Tamandua tetradactyla: one gene and its partner. The protein of the gene in region 1 interacts with the protein of each later gene in a biochemical or structural test. Links are inferred from orthologs where the notes say so. Each region holds a gene or a part of one and is shown on either strand. Other genes may lie near its edges.

What was found. The genes of interacting proteins can lie anywhere in the genome.
Region 2: the proteins of TRIM7 (region 1) and RNF187 interact in a test that uses a peptide from one of them, tested with the Homo sapiens proteins (2 studies listed by BioGRID, with this or other methods). The link is inferred for Tamandua tetradactyla from reciprocal best matches to the Homo sapiens genes TRIM7 and RNF187.

The regions. Positions count from the first base shown.
Region 1 is NC_135346.1:3,285,046-3,292,897, forward strand, and holds the start of TRIM7 (E3 ubiquitin-protein ligase TRIM7), read right to left. Parts: upstream 3,072-7,852; 5' UTR 3,019-3,071; coding exon 2,515-3,018; intron 1,641-2,514; coding exon 1,545-1,640; intron 1-1,544. UniProt on the Homo sapiens protein: E3 ubiquitin-protein ligase that have both tumor-promoting and tumor-suppressing activities and functions in several biological processes including innate immunity, regulation of ferroptosis as well as cell proliferation and migration.
Region 2 is NC_135346.1:62,360,656-62,367,586, forward strand, and holds the start of RNF187 (E3 ubiquitin-protein ligase RNF187), read right to left. Parts: upstream 3,089-6,931; coding exon 2,975-3,088; intron 1-2,974.

The DNA of each region.
Region 1 (7,852 bases):
AAGAACTCATTCCCCTTGTAAACATGCAGCAAAAGTTAGGCTCTACTTCTGTGGTTTCATCAAACAGTCTTTTGTAATGATGATGTATGGGCCACAAGTGGAAGTGGGAAGCTGGACGTTGGGAGAGGGCAGCGGTGGAAGTTGCTAAGCAGAGTCATGGGGTCCTGACAGTGACTGAGAAGCTGCCCATGCTGCAGGGAGGCCCCTTGGGTCCTGGATGTAAAACAGCAGCTTCTGAAGAGACTTGCTTACCCCCTTCTCCAGCAGGAAAGGAATAAGGGTGAGGAGGTGTGAGCTCTTCCTGGTGGAGGGAAGTGGATGAATAAACTGGGAGTTCTGAGAGGCACACTGGATGCATTTGGGGGCAGGAAAGGAACCGGGGGCATCTCAACTAGAGAGTCCTCCCCCTGTCCCCTCCACTTCCACCTTGAGGAAAGGAGGGTCCTCAAGTTACTCCTCCTCTAAGTTCCAGCTCCAGAACAGAAAGCCCCACACTGACCAGCTCTAGTGGAGACATTCATTCAACACCTACAAATTGAGCGAGGAACAGAATTTGAAGTAGACAAATAAGAGTCAGTGTGCCAGTTTGAAACTATGGTGTACTCCAGAAAAGCCATGCTCTTTAATCCTGATTCAATATTGTTGGGTGGGATCTTTTTTATTAAGTTGTTTCCATAGAGATGTGACCCTTTGATTAGATGGTTTCCATGGAGATGCATCTCCACCCATTCAAGGTGGGTTATAATACGCTTACCGGAACCCTTAAGAGTGAGCCATTTTGGAAAAAGGTTCAGAGCTGACCAGAGAAGAAATCTTTGGAGCTGCAGAAAGAAAATGCCCCAGGAAGGTTTATGGAGTGAGAAGCCAGGAGAGAAAGCTAGCAGATGTGGCCACTTGCCTTTCCAGCTGACAGAGAACCCAGAACATCATCCGCCCTTTCTTGAGTCAAGGTTATCTTTATCTGGATGCCTTAGTTTGGACATTTTTATGGCCTTATGTAAACGTGTAACCTAATAAATTCCTTTTATAAAAGCCAACCCATTTCTGGTATATTGCATTCCTGCAGCATTTAACAAACCAAAACAATTCCAAAATCTAAAACACTCTGAAAATTGATTTTTTTTCCATAACGCATTTGGTAGTAAAACATGCACTGAACTGATATGAGGCTATTTATTATAAGTATGCTCCTACTTAGTAAGAATATTCATATACTTCTGTGCCGAAATATTACTGTGTTAAACTGCAACATGCTGCCCCACGCCCCAATTGGGGAGTTACATAACGTTAGGGTGACCGTACATCCTGATTCACAGGCAATTTGACTTTTATACCAGTTGTTCTAGACTGATTACTTTAGTACACCCTTTCACTCTCCAAAGCCCCGGATTGCAGAATGAATTATAATGTCACTCTATATAATATGCACCAGATTAACTTTCTAAAATCCATGCATTCCAACACCACACCCAGAGCCGGGGGTGGGGGTGGGGGCAACTCTGCTGTTGTCCCCCACTGGGGTCCAGCTGGGGTGACCAGCTCACCAGGAGCTCCCTGCTCTCCTTTTCCTCTGTGGACCTGAACATCTCATACTCCTCCAGCTCCTTCTTCAGGACCCTCAGCCTGGCCTCCAGGAGCTCCTGCAGAAGAGAGAGAAGTGAGAAGGAGAGGGGCAAGGAGTCTGGGAAGTCGCTTTCTGGAGCCATCCAGGAAGTCCTTGCTCATTGAGGAGGCTGGTGGCAGCCTCCACTGGATATCGGGAAGGATGCAGCACACCCAGGGTAACTCCAAAGGCCCTGGGGTCTCACTTCCTCCAGGTCACCAGCTGCACACTGCAGGCTGAAACACAAGCCCCCCTCCGGCGCAGCCCGCGTCGTCTCTGCTCCCCTTTGGATGGAAGGGTTGAGCATGGTGGGAGAGCAAGCACAGAGCGCCCGAGGCCTCCACACACTGCCGGGCCGCGGCCCCAGCAAGGAGGCCGCAAGGGGCCATGGGGATGGCTTCAGCGAACTCCTCACGCGGGTCAGGAATCCGGCTCTTGCCCCCTCGGCCTCGTGGAGGTCGCTCCACCAGGTCCCGGAGGGGAGGGGGGACACTGAGCAAGGCCACGCCCGGGAGACGAAGCTGAGTGGGGTCAGGGGACGTGTGGGTGTGACGGGGTTTCTCCTGAGCCAAGAGCTGCAATAACCGAGAGGCCGCTAGAGGCCCGGAACCGAGAGGAAGAAAATCGCAAGGTCCGTGGGGGCGTCACGCAGGCGATCCAGCATGGGAACCAGAGGGAAATGCGGGCGCGCGTGTGCGTGCGTGTGTGTGCGTGTTGGTGGTGTGGTGCTGACAGGAGAACCGCCTTCCGCCCCGGAGGCAGCGCTGGGCGGCGGCGGATAGGAGAAAGGGGGCAGGGACTCACCAGCGCCCCTGCCTGCCTGCCTGCGAGTGGGATGCACCGGGTGTGCGGGCTGGTAGGCTCAGAGCCCAAGGGTCGCGGGGACAGGCGAGGTATGACCGGATTCTCACCTTGGCCTCTTGCACCGCCTCGTCCAGTGGCAGCACCGCGTGTGAGCGGTGCTCGCGGGCACGGTCGCACACCACGCAAATGGCGCGCCCGTCGTCCTGGCAAAAGAGCTTGAGCGGCTCTCCGTGCAGCCCGCAGCTGGCCGCCGCCTCCCGCCGTCCGCGCTCCCCGCCGGCGGCCGCGGGCAGGCTGAATCGCCGCAGCAGCGCGGCCACGGCGGCCAGCTGCCGGTTGGGCCGCAGGTGGTCCGGGCGCGTCGGCTCGCGGCACTGCGGGCAGGGAAGAGGGCTGGACCGGGCAGGGGGCGCGGCGGGGGCCCCGGAAGCCGGGCGCTCCCAGCAGCGCGAGATGCACGCGCGGCAGAAGCTGTGGCCACACTCGACAGACACGGGCTCCCGGAAGAGCTCCAGGCAGATGGAGCACGTCGCCTCGCCCTGCAGCTCTGCAGCCAGCGCCAGCGCCTCGGCCCCGGCCCCCGGGCCTGTCCGGGGTCCCACGGCCGCCATACGTGCGCTCCGCACACACGGCCCCGGGAGCGGGCCGGCCTCCTAGCGCCTACTCGGAGAGGAAGGGCGGAGCCGAGGCCGGAAAGGCGGAGCCGAGACCCGGAAGGCGGAGCCGTGAGCCCGGGGCGCGTCCGCCCGGGAGCCCCGCGGGGAGGGTGCGCGCTGGAGACTGGCGAGATGGGAAGGGCGAGGGGATTTGAAAGGCGGACGGTGCCGTGCGCCCGCCACCTGGGTCTCCCCCCGACGCTCCAGCCTGACCCCGTCAGCCCCGGGAAACGGGCCGCGACAGGTGGGCGCGCGAATCCCACTGGGCGCCGCTCCCGGCCGCCTCCCGAGGGTGACCCGACACCGTCGGGGCAAGGGCCCGGCTCCGGGCCGCGGTGTCAGGTTCCCGGGGCGCAGGCCGGAGGCAGGCCCTAACCCCGAGCGAAGCTAAATTTAGGGCGGAAACCTGGCTCTGGGCCCCACCCCCAACCCCCCAAGCCCCAGGCCTGGCCTTCTGTCCAGCGACACATACCTCCACCCCGCTTATTTTTATTTTGGTTTGGAACAAGTATTGCATTTACAAGAAATTTTCCCACTTTCTTAAGTGTCACGTCCTCCCCACCCACACCCCAATCCACCCCCTCGTGCGCCCCCTGCTCGGTTCCACAGCCCCGCTCCGGCTCCGGAGCTGCCGGTGTCATATGCTCTCTGTCCTCTCGCTTCGGTCACTCTGGAGGGCACTCGGGCCCGGCTTTCGCCCCACCCTCCTCGGAAACCATTCTCATCAAGGTCACCGGTGGCCTCCACGAGCCTATATCCTAGGTTCGTTCTCAGGCCTCGCCTCACCTGTGCTCTGATCGCTCAACTTCGATGGCCTTTCTCTGCGCGCCTGGCTCTTCTCCCAGCTCACTGCGTCGCCCCCCTTCTCTGACTCCTTTGAGGTTTCCTTCTCCTTTCCTGACCCCCAGTCCGTCCCCGGACTCCCCAACTCACTCCCTGTGGCCTCTCCCACTTTACATATATATATATATATACACACATATACAGAATGTGTATATAGATACACACACACACACTTTAAATTTACATGTAAATATTTATGTGCTTCAAGTGTGTGTGTGTGTGTGTATCTATATACACATTCTGTATATGTATATATATATTTATTAAGATATCTTCACACATGTGCAGTTCATCCATAATATATGGCCAGTGGCTCACAAAACATCATATAGTTGCGTATTCAGCATCACGAGTGCATTTGTATCACTCCAGAAAAAGAAATAAAGAGAAAAAACTCGTACATCCCATACCCCTTGCCCGTCCTTCTCATTGACCACTAGTATTGCAATCCACCCAAATTTTTACCCCATCTTCCCCTATTATTTATTTACTGTCCTTATTTTTTTTACATATATGTCCATACCCTGGATAAATGGAGTATCAGCCACAAGGTTTCACAATTCCAAATTGTAAAAGCTATATAGTTATATAATTGTCTTCAAAGTCAAAGCTGCTGGAACACAGTTCAATGGTTTCAGGTGCCCCTCCGATGCATCATAAACTAAAAAGGGATATCTATATAACGCATAAGAATACCCTCCAGGATAACCTCTTGCCTCTGTCTGAAATCTCTCAGCCACTGAGACTTTATTTTGTCTCATTTTTCTCTTCCCCTTTTTGGTCAAGAAGGCTTTCTCAGTCCCATGATTCCGGGTCCCAGCTCATCCCGGGAGTCCTGTCCCACGTTGCCAGGGAGATTTACATGCCTGGGAGTCATTTCCACATTGGGGAGGCTCTCCCACTTTTGGGCTTGAAAGACCACCTCCTTACTGATGATTCTACAGTAACCTCCAAGCCCCCCTCGAACATCTGGCTCGCACATTCAACCCCCACCTGTTTCTTCTAAGGGGCTGAATCCAAACTACTTCTGATTGGCCCCCAAACTTGCTCCTCCCAAAGCCTTCCCCACCCCATTTAAGGCAACTCCACCCCACCAGGTGCACAGGCCAAAATCCTGGAATTGTCTCTGACTGTTCTTTTGCTCACACCCCATGCCCAGCCCACAGCACCTCCCCAATTCCTCACCACTCTCCGTCTCCACTGCATCACATACGATAATCACAATTCTCTCCCCTTGTGCCTGGCCACCATCCCTTGTCTTCTCCACTTAGCAGCCAGAAAATCCTGTTCAATTGTTAGGTCAGATTATGGCCCTCTGCTCGGACTCTCTAATGGTCCCCACCTCCCTTAGTCCTTACAGCTCCCCATTCTGGTTCCCTGACGCCCTACACCCGTCACTGTCCTGTTCTCTGCTCTCATGTCCTACTCACGCCACTGCTGACTCCACTCCAACACACGGGCCTCCTTGCTTTCCCTACCACATCATATCAGAAGGATTTCTATCTCAGAGCCTTTACACTGGCTGCTCCCTTTGCTTGGACCTCTCCTCCCCTAGATTCTAGCCTGGCTCTCTTTCCACCTCTTCAAAGTCTTGGCTTAAATGTCACCTTTTCAATGAAGCCTGCCTGGCTACACTGTTTTGTTTTTTTCTCTGTTCATTTGTTTTTTCTACGAGATAAAGAATTTATTACTAGGTGCTGTTCTAGTTTGCTAGCTGCTGGAATGCAACACACCAGAGACGGATTGGCTTTTAATAAAAGGGGATTTATTTTTGTTGGTTCTTCAGAGGAAAGGCAGCTAACTTTCCACTGAGGTTCTTTCTTACGTGGAAGGCACAGGATGGTCTCTGCTGGTCTTCTCTCCAGGCCCCTGGGTTCCAACAACTTTACCCGGGGTGATTTCTTCCTCCATCTCCAAGGGCCTGGGCTGAGCTGCAAGTGCTGAGATGAGGAATGCCAAGCTGCTAAACTGTGCTACGTTGGGAATCTCTCATTTAAGCACCAGCCAATTAAGTCAAACATCACTCATTGCAGCAGACACGCCTCCTAGCCGACTGCAGATGTAATTGGCAACAGATGAGGTTCACATACCGTTGGCTTATGTCCGCAGCAACAAGATTAGGTATGCTCACCTGGCCAAGTTGACAACTGAATCTAACTAACACAGGTGCATAGTAGGACAGCAGATGATCTAGCGGCCCAAAATCTGTCCCCCCAAGTTTAGGGGGTTCAAGGTTTTTAAACATTTTAGCAAGGGGAGATAAAGTCATTTGAATAGCAAATTCAAAGGAGAAAAGGAGAGAGTGTGATGGTCATTTCAATAGAAGAATAGAAGCTGAAAGGAAAGGAAGCAAAGCTATATTACTTCATCACTAAAGGTGTGAGCCCGAAGGAAGGGAGACAAGTTATCTTGCAATAGGAGAATCTAGCTGGTACAATTTGCAAATGTCTGGGGCTGAGGCTAGTCAGTGGCTGACTTCATTAGCATTAGGGCATTTGCCCTACAAGAAAATGACCAGATAAAGGGCATAATAGCTCTTACAGCCATAAAGGCACAAGAGAAGGGCTTTTACAATCATTTCAGATATCAGGGCAGCTGAATTGTAGTTTAGGGCTTTCAGGTATTCCCTCTGCCTACTCCAACATCCCAAAAAGAAAAAAGGAATATGATTCGTAATCAAAATCATCCCTTAAATCCTAATTTCTTGGTTACAATTCCTCCGTCTCATTTGATAATTATCTCTCAATCTTGAGGGATACCTGGTGATGACTCTCTAACTTCTTCAAGGCTGAAAATGGGGGGGGGGGGTTATCAAGAGACAAGGGGTTGAACTGATGAAACCAGTTGTTATTCTTGGAGAGCCCAGTATCTCTTGGTTTCAGAGCTTCTCTGGCATTGGAACAATCTGAAGGTTTCAAGTCTCTGAAAAACAAACTTAATAAGTAAAATTTTATAGCGCATAGGCTATCTTTCAAGGTTTCCAGGAACACTATTGGTTGGGGTTTGCCATCTTGTGACAGTTCGCAATATCTGGCTGAAACTTGCATAAAAGTAACCTCCAGAATGACCTCTCAACTTGATTTGAAATCTTTTAGCCATTGAAACTCAATTTATTTATTCCTTTTGGTCAACTAATCCATGATGCCAGGGCCAGACTCATCCTCGGTACTTATGTCTCATGATGCCAGGGCCAATTGTGTCTCACACTGCCAGAGCCAGGCTTACAATCCTGGAGATCATGTCCCACATTGGGGAGAAGCTCAGAGTTTGGCTTAGAGAGGCACATTTGAGCAACAGAAGAGATTTTTCTGGAGATGACTCTTGGGCACCAATCCTATGTAAGTTCAGTTTACTATTACAGAAATAAGTTTCATAAGGGCAAGTCTCAAAACTGAGCCTTGGTTTATTAAATTGGGAGCCCCTCTTGCTTAAGAAAATGTAGGAGCCAAAGGGTTAAAACAAGACCTGCAGAATTTGTTGGGAGCAGCTGGCATCCCTGGGCAGGCAAGAAACTGAGGAGATTGTTACCTGCTTTGTTTGGAACAGTCTGGAGGAACAGAATGCTTGTTTACCCCCAAATGGTTACCTTAAGTATGAAGAAAGTTAAGTACTTTGTTTCCTCAGGAAATGCAGGCATGCCTTTTGTTACCCTGCAGTATATAAGCAGGATCTGGTTCAGAATAAAGTTGTCTGTTGTTTGTAAAAGTTAAGCTTCAGACCCCCGATCCCATCTGTCTCTTTCTTTCTTTCAGTCTCTCTCTTTCTTTCTCGTCATTCCTTAATATCCTTCGAGCTCCGTTTCATAGGAAGCAACAAGAAAATGTCAGGAATTCCCCAGGTAGGGAAGTTTAATACCTCTATTTTTCTCAGTCCCTCAAGGGACTTTGCAAACACTTTTTCATTTTCTGCCCAAAATACTCTGAAATGCATCATTGCACAACATTAG
Region 2 (6,931 bases), about 59 Mb from region 1:
ACTTGCAGAAGACCTCTTTTGTTGCTCAGTTGTGGCCTCTCTCTCTCTAAGCCCAACTCTGCAAATGAATTCATTGCCCTCCCTCCTACAAGGGACACAACATTTATGGGTGAAATTCTCCCTGCAGTGTGGGAGATGATTCCCAGGGATGTCTGGCCCTGGTACCGTGGGATCAACAATGCCATTCTGACCAAAAGTGGGGAAAGAAGTGTTTCAAATAAGGTATCAGTGGCTGAGAGAGTTCAAATAGAATCGAGAGGCTACTCTGGAGGTCACTCTTATGCACACTTCAGTTAAACATTGCTACCTGTAATAACTTGCCAACCCCCCAACCAAAGCCATTCCTGCCAATCCTAAAGAACACCTTCGCCATTATATAAGGTTCTACAAAGGTTCCATGCACTAGGGTAACTTGCAAGAAATCTACAACCTCCAGATGAGTACTCAGACCATGCGAGTCTGAAATGCAGAGGGGTCAGCCTCTCCAGAACATTAACTAGTTCCATCTCCCTTTCCTATACTACCAATACCCCCTTCCAACATGAAAAAGTTAGAATGGGCATAGCCCAAATACCCCTAAAGAGTGGGAGAAAGATTAAAGGTGATGGTGGAGTTATACAGAGAAGGTAGGACTTAACAAATGAGTATCACTGCTGAATCATGATATTTATATTTTTTTAGTCTCCAGTTTCTTGGAGCAGCTAGAAGGAAAAACATAAAATTGTGGAACAGAAACCCATACCAAACTAAAATTTGGTCTACAACTATTTGTTACAATGTACTTTGAATATTTATTGCTTTTTTGTATATATGTTATATTTCATAATAAAAATTGTTTAAAAATTTCACTGAATAAATAAACAAAAAATAATTAGCAATTAAAAAAAAAAGACTAACTTTGAGTGGGTGAAATCACATCTCCACCTAATAAAAAAATCCGAGCCACACTTGTGTGTCACATCTCCATGGAAACAACCTAATCAAAATGTCACACCACAAAAAGAAAAGTCACACCCCAACTGAGCACAGCACATCTCTACGAAAATAATCCAATCAAACTTTCCACCCTAAGTGGTAGGTCTGCCCCCACAAGATTGGATTAGGAAAGAGAACATGGCTTTTCTGGGGTATATAACATCTTCAAACCAGTAACCCTGCCGTTCAGAGGCAGACAAAAATTGGGAGTTTGGGTCTAAAGACATACAGAAGAAGGCATATTTTAAATCGAGTACTAAGTATCTTAGGGCAGAGATAGGAATTTTGTTAAGAAGAGTATAAGGGTTGGAAACTAGAGGATGAAGGGGGAATGGCAAAGCTATTCACAGGTCTGAGGTCCTGTACCAACTCATACGTCCCATGTGGCTTTTTGACAGGCAGGGTAGGGTATCACAGGGAGACTGACAAGTGACTAGAAGGCCAGTTTTCAGGAACTTCTGGGTAAGGGGTTAGATACCCATTATATCTTCAGTTTTAAGAGGGTACTGCTTTCTCTTGGGAAAGGGTTGATCCTGTCAATTGATTAGGATCGGAGAGATGTGAGTAGCGTTTCTGGATATTTCTGTTTCCCATACCACTGGACTGACTTCATTAGCCAGTTCAGGGTGAGACTGTCTGGGTTTCTGGATCCAGCTAAAGCTGGACATACAGTTACAGACACCTCTGAAGCATCCTTAAGACATTGGGTAGGCCAGCAGCCTATTAGCCGGATTTGTGCACCCGATGCCCATTGCAAGTCTCTTCCTAGAAGTGGGCTAGGACACGCTGGTACCACCAAGAACTGATGATTCAAAATTATGCTGCCAATTTGACAAAGAAGGGGCTGGGTGACGGTTTTGGCTTTAGACTTTGGCTTTTACAATAGGACAGACTCACGGGGACATTGGGGCTGAGTAACCGGTCAAACCAGAATAAGTGGCTCCAATATCAATTAAAAAAAATCAATTGCCTTACCTGCCACATTGAAGGTCACTCAAGACTCATCGCAATTGATGTTTTTCAGTGAAGTCCAGGGAGCCACTAGTGGCCCAGGCCTCCTCAATCTTGCTTGGGAGCAGTCACAAAAGCTTTCAGGAGGGTCTCTATTTCCCTCTGGGACTCAGTGCACCCCTGGGCCCAGTGTCCGGCTTTCCTACACCTAAGGCAAGGCCCCAGGGGCTCTTGGTATCCCTGAGGACACTTGTATTTCCAACCCTCCATCTTTCCACACTTGTAGCAGGATCGGGCTGGCTTCTTCCCCAAGTGGCCCCAAGGCAGCTGTTGGCCATGCACAGCAAACACTGTGAGCTGAGCTCTGTCCCTGTCTTTCCTTACCTTACCTTACCTTCCTCTGCAGCCCCGTCCTTTTTATTAAAAACAGAAAAGCAGTGTTTATGAGATCATAGGGGCTTCTGACCCAGAGGCCAGTTCCTTAAATTTCCTCCTTATATCAGGAGCTAACTGACCAATAAAATGTGTAGTTTGCATACACGTTTGGACTGACTCAGGTACTTGTGGGCAGATGCATAAAGTTTAAAATATAAAACCAAACACACCACCCCAGCTCCACACTGTAGTCCCAGCCCTGCTGCAAAATAACTCATTGAGCCTATTCCTATACGCGAGAAATGACAGGAATTTGTTACTTGTTTAAAGAGATTTTTTTAACTAAATGCTAGAATTTGTTCTGGCGTATGAAATATTGTGAAAATTCTTCTGTAGAGGTGACTCTGGAAGACACGGCACAAAATCTGACACTACAGATTAAAACATATATGTATAGTAGACAAAGAGCAGGCCGAGTGTGTCTAATCAGGAATCCAGCTAATCTTTTAGGGTAGTGGACAAAGGCAGACCAAGACCTCCTCCGTCAGGGGAAGGACCTGGAGGCCCAAAGGTGAACTAGTTAGGGCAATTCATTCAGGAATCTGGAATTTCAAATCGGAAACCAGACAGAACGTGTTGGAAAAGCTCCACCTGTCCCCAAATTCTAAAGTACCAACCAAAGACAGTGGGGGTCTGAAAGGGCGGTGATTTCTAGTCCTGGGGCCCGGGTCGCCAGCTCCAGCCCCCTCCCGCGGAAGCGGATCCCGGGACATGTGTTCTCCGGCATGCGGGCGCCTAGCGGTGAGGGCGCATACGAGGAACCGCGCCGGGCCGGGCTCGGCTTTGGGTCTCGGGTGACGTCTTGGGATGGGCACCCGGGACGGCGGCCGGGCTTGCGGAGCCGAAGCGCACGGGAGTCTGGGGGCTCAGGGAGGTGGGAGCGCCAGGATGCAGGATGCTCGGGACAGCGGCGCCACCCACGCTACCTGCAGAGGCCCGCGGAGCAGGAGGCGTCTCCTGCATGTACCCAAATAGGCCGATCTTGATTGGCTCGAAATTCAATCCTCCCGACTCCGATTCCTCCTCCTTTTTTTTTTTGACCGCCTTCGCTCCTTTCCCCTTAGTTGTTCATTTATTTGTATTTCATTCACGTCCGTGCCTTCATGTTTTCTTCCATGTCCTTGCATATCATCGTGATTCTCTAGTAATCATGCGATGCCTTGGGGGAGGCAGGGGCTGGCCTGTGGTGATGTCTGCCCCCGGTGGGTGCCTGGGCAGGCTGCTGTGCGCACCCGCCGCCCTCTCTTCAAGGGCTGTCTTCTTCTCTCCTGAAAAACCTAAAATATCCTGAAAATATAGGAATTCTTTTCATAGACGCTTCAAGTTTCGTGATATGTGTTGACTAGTATCCATATCTCTTCCAAATACTGTGTGAAGCCTCTAAATTCACTTTCAACAACCCTTAAATTATTTTAATAACTATTATGGATACGAAGTAAGAGAAATATATAAGGTTGCGGGGGGGTGGGGGGCGCTTCCTCTGAAAAACTTTTGAGCCAGAAGCGGCTTTGCGAGGTTAGCGGAGGAAACCAGTGACCCTGATGTCAGTTCAGGAGGGAGGAGAACCTTTCTCCAGACACTAGATCGCTGCTTTGAATGCACCTGTAATCCATCACATGCAGCGGGGAAAATCCCAGGAAAGGATAATTTAGCCCTAAGAGTGCATGCACCTGTGAGTGTGCTTGCCGATGCCAAAGACCAAAATCGGGAAGAATTTAGCTTCTATGAAGTCATTAATCTCTGCCTAACGTTCTGAGATTGACACTCGAGTTTGCGCATTTCGCAGGCTCGAGTATTCGTTATTTTGCTCACTTTTTCACAAATTTGTTTTTTTGCCCTTCTATATTACTTGCTGTCCTTTATTCACACCTGCAGCTTGAATTTGATCGCAGCGCTTATTACCGACTTATCAAAATAAAATGTCAATAGGCCCAGAAGCAATTTCTTGCGATCACGGCTCATGCGAAAAGGCCCAGGACAGGAGAACCCTTGAAACGGCCCCAGTGTGACCCTTCTTTGACCAGAATGTGGGCTTTTCTGAACAAGCACTGTGCCTTTGTCCAGTTCTGCCCTGCCCCCTCTCAGTTGAGGAGCTCCCACCCCCAGCCCCGCATTTCTTCCCAGCAGAAAGCCTTGCCTTTAGGAGAGAGGAGGGCTCAGCCCCCAAACTCGGACAACTTGGGGATGTCCCTGGAGAAGCCTAACTGAAGCTGGGAAGGCCAGTTTTCTGCAACACATCTCCCTGGTGACCTTCCGCTGACTAGCTTAGAAACACTTCGACCTTTTTCGGGAGGATGTGAGCATACATTTAGTGTATTTCACATGTTCTATGCAAAATGCCACAGCATCCCATGTAATGTGGTCCATCAGCCTTCTTTCAGCTCTTAAACCCCGAAATGTTAAAACTCTTAGTAAGCCTTTAAACATGCCCTTTCTATATTTGCGGTGGCTGACTCGAAGAGAACCCTCTGGGCAGACTCTAGATATGTTTAGCATGTTTTACTTTAGGTATTGCAGTACAAAATCAGCACTCTCTTGGAAGGTAAAACCCATCTGCCATTTGTTTGCCATTGCAATGCTTTCAAGGTGCCATGTACGTATGCTTGTGAGAATTTTAAAGTGGTTTTCTCTTGGTTGAGGGTGGGAAGAAGTCATGGCCTATTCCACGTGTTCGGAGGCTGTACCCCTTCACTGCACAAATATCCTGGATGATAACATTTGTTCATTTCCTGCATGCATTATTCATTCAACACATTTATTGAATCAGCATTAACACCAGGCACTGGACTATGGAACCATTAAAAAAGAAAAGTAGGTGTCTATGATTTTTATCAGCAAAACTCCTTTCAAAATTGGTCTTCCAGACCATTTACTCTCAAGCAAGCCTGTCTGTCTTACTGGCTAGACTGGAAGCCATTGTTCCCCCCCCCTTCCCTCCCCTTTCCTCCCCTCTTCTCCTCCCCTTTCTACCCCTCCCCTTCCCTTCCCTTTCTCTCCTTTTCTGTTTGGCAATGTTGAACCTTACTCAAGGCCTTTATTTCTGGAAAGGAGCAAAGTTTAAGAAATTCCACCATCCTTTGTATTCTGGAAAACTTTTTTTTTACCAAAAACAACAAGGACAACGTGAAAAAAAAAAACACCCTTCCCCCATATGACTTAGATAAGACTCAGAATGTCCCCTTGTTTACCTATGACAAGGCTGGACACAGACCCTCCACATTCCCTTCCTTTGCCTCATCAATAATTAGCTGGACTGCTGGTTCCCTGCTAATCAATTGCAACAAAATACTTATTAACCAAACATTGCTTAAATTTCTCTCCTTCCCTCTTGAACTTTAATGGTCCCTCCCAGAAAATAGGCTGCTTCAGCATAAAATATTCTCAGATCTACTATTTGATTATGCCAACCTTCATCCCACTTCTTATACCTGGTTCTTTTCTCCCTATAAAAGAAAACTCGTTTTAGCCTACTATGTTATGATCAGAGCATTCTCCCTATTGTGATAGTTCTCCTCTATTTTAATAATCTCTTTCCCACTTTGCAATAATCCTCTTGAATATAGTCTCTCTTTACTAAGTCTGGATTTGTTCTGTTGTTTGATTTGTTTTGTTGTTTGACCTTTTCTTTTCTTTCTTTCTCCCTTCCTTCCTTCCTTTTTTCCCCTTCCTTCCTTTCTTTATTCCTTCCTTCCTTTCTCTCTCTCTCTCTCTCTCTCTCTCTCTCTCTCTCTCTCTCTCTCTCTCTCGCGCTCTCTCTCTCTCTCTCTCTCTCTCTCTCTCTCTCTCTCTCTCTCTCTCTCTCTCTCCTCCTTCCCCTCACTTCCTCCTTTCATTCCCCCCCCTTTTTTTCTTTCTTCCTGCCTTCTTTCTTTCCCTTTTCTTATTTTCTTTGAGGAAAGTTCAAGTTTACCCTATAATGTTTCATCTGCCAATATCACATTGGCTATGGTCCCAAGACAACCCATGAGATTGTTATCCTGGTTTTCTGAAACTAATCAGCCACTAGGTTCAGGCAGAACAATTCTTAAATCTTAGTCCCTTCATCGAAAAGACAATATCTTCCCCCAAACTCATTCTTGGAAAATTTCACTCTAAGTTTTGCTTCAAACCTTCACTAAAGCAGAAGTAAGCCAAGAAATCTCAGCATAGACCCAATCAAAAGGACCCAGCTTTTAAAAATGACAGGGGCAGGGCAGGGCAGGGGTGAAGGAACTGTCAGTGCACAAACCCATGGAAAGCATTCATCCTTAATAAGGTCTGCTGGCTAAGGGGCATGCAGAGCCAGGATCTGTGCAGCTTCTTAGGGCCCTGCACTGAGAAGGGTCCATGTTGCTTTAATACCCTCCTAACATTATCTTGAGATTCTTAATGGTCTTAGAACAAAAGCCCCCCACATTTTCATTCTGCACTGAGCTCAGCAGATTATGCAGATGGTCCTGTGATTTAACTATGTCCTGCCTGATACTCAAGTTCCCTCAGTCACAGAGTCTTTACCACAGATGTCTGAGATGAATATTCTGTTTACAAAAATGTTTGTTACCAGATAACAGTGCCCTGATACGTACAGTGC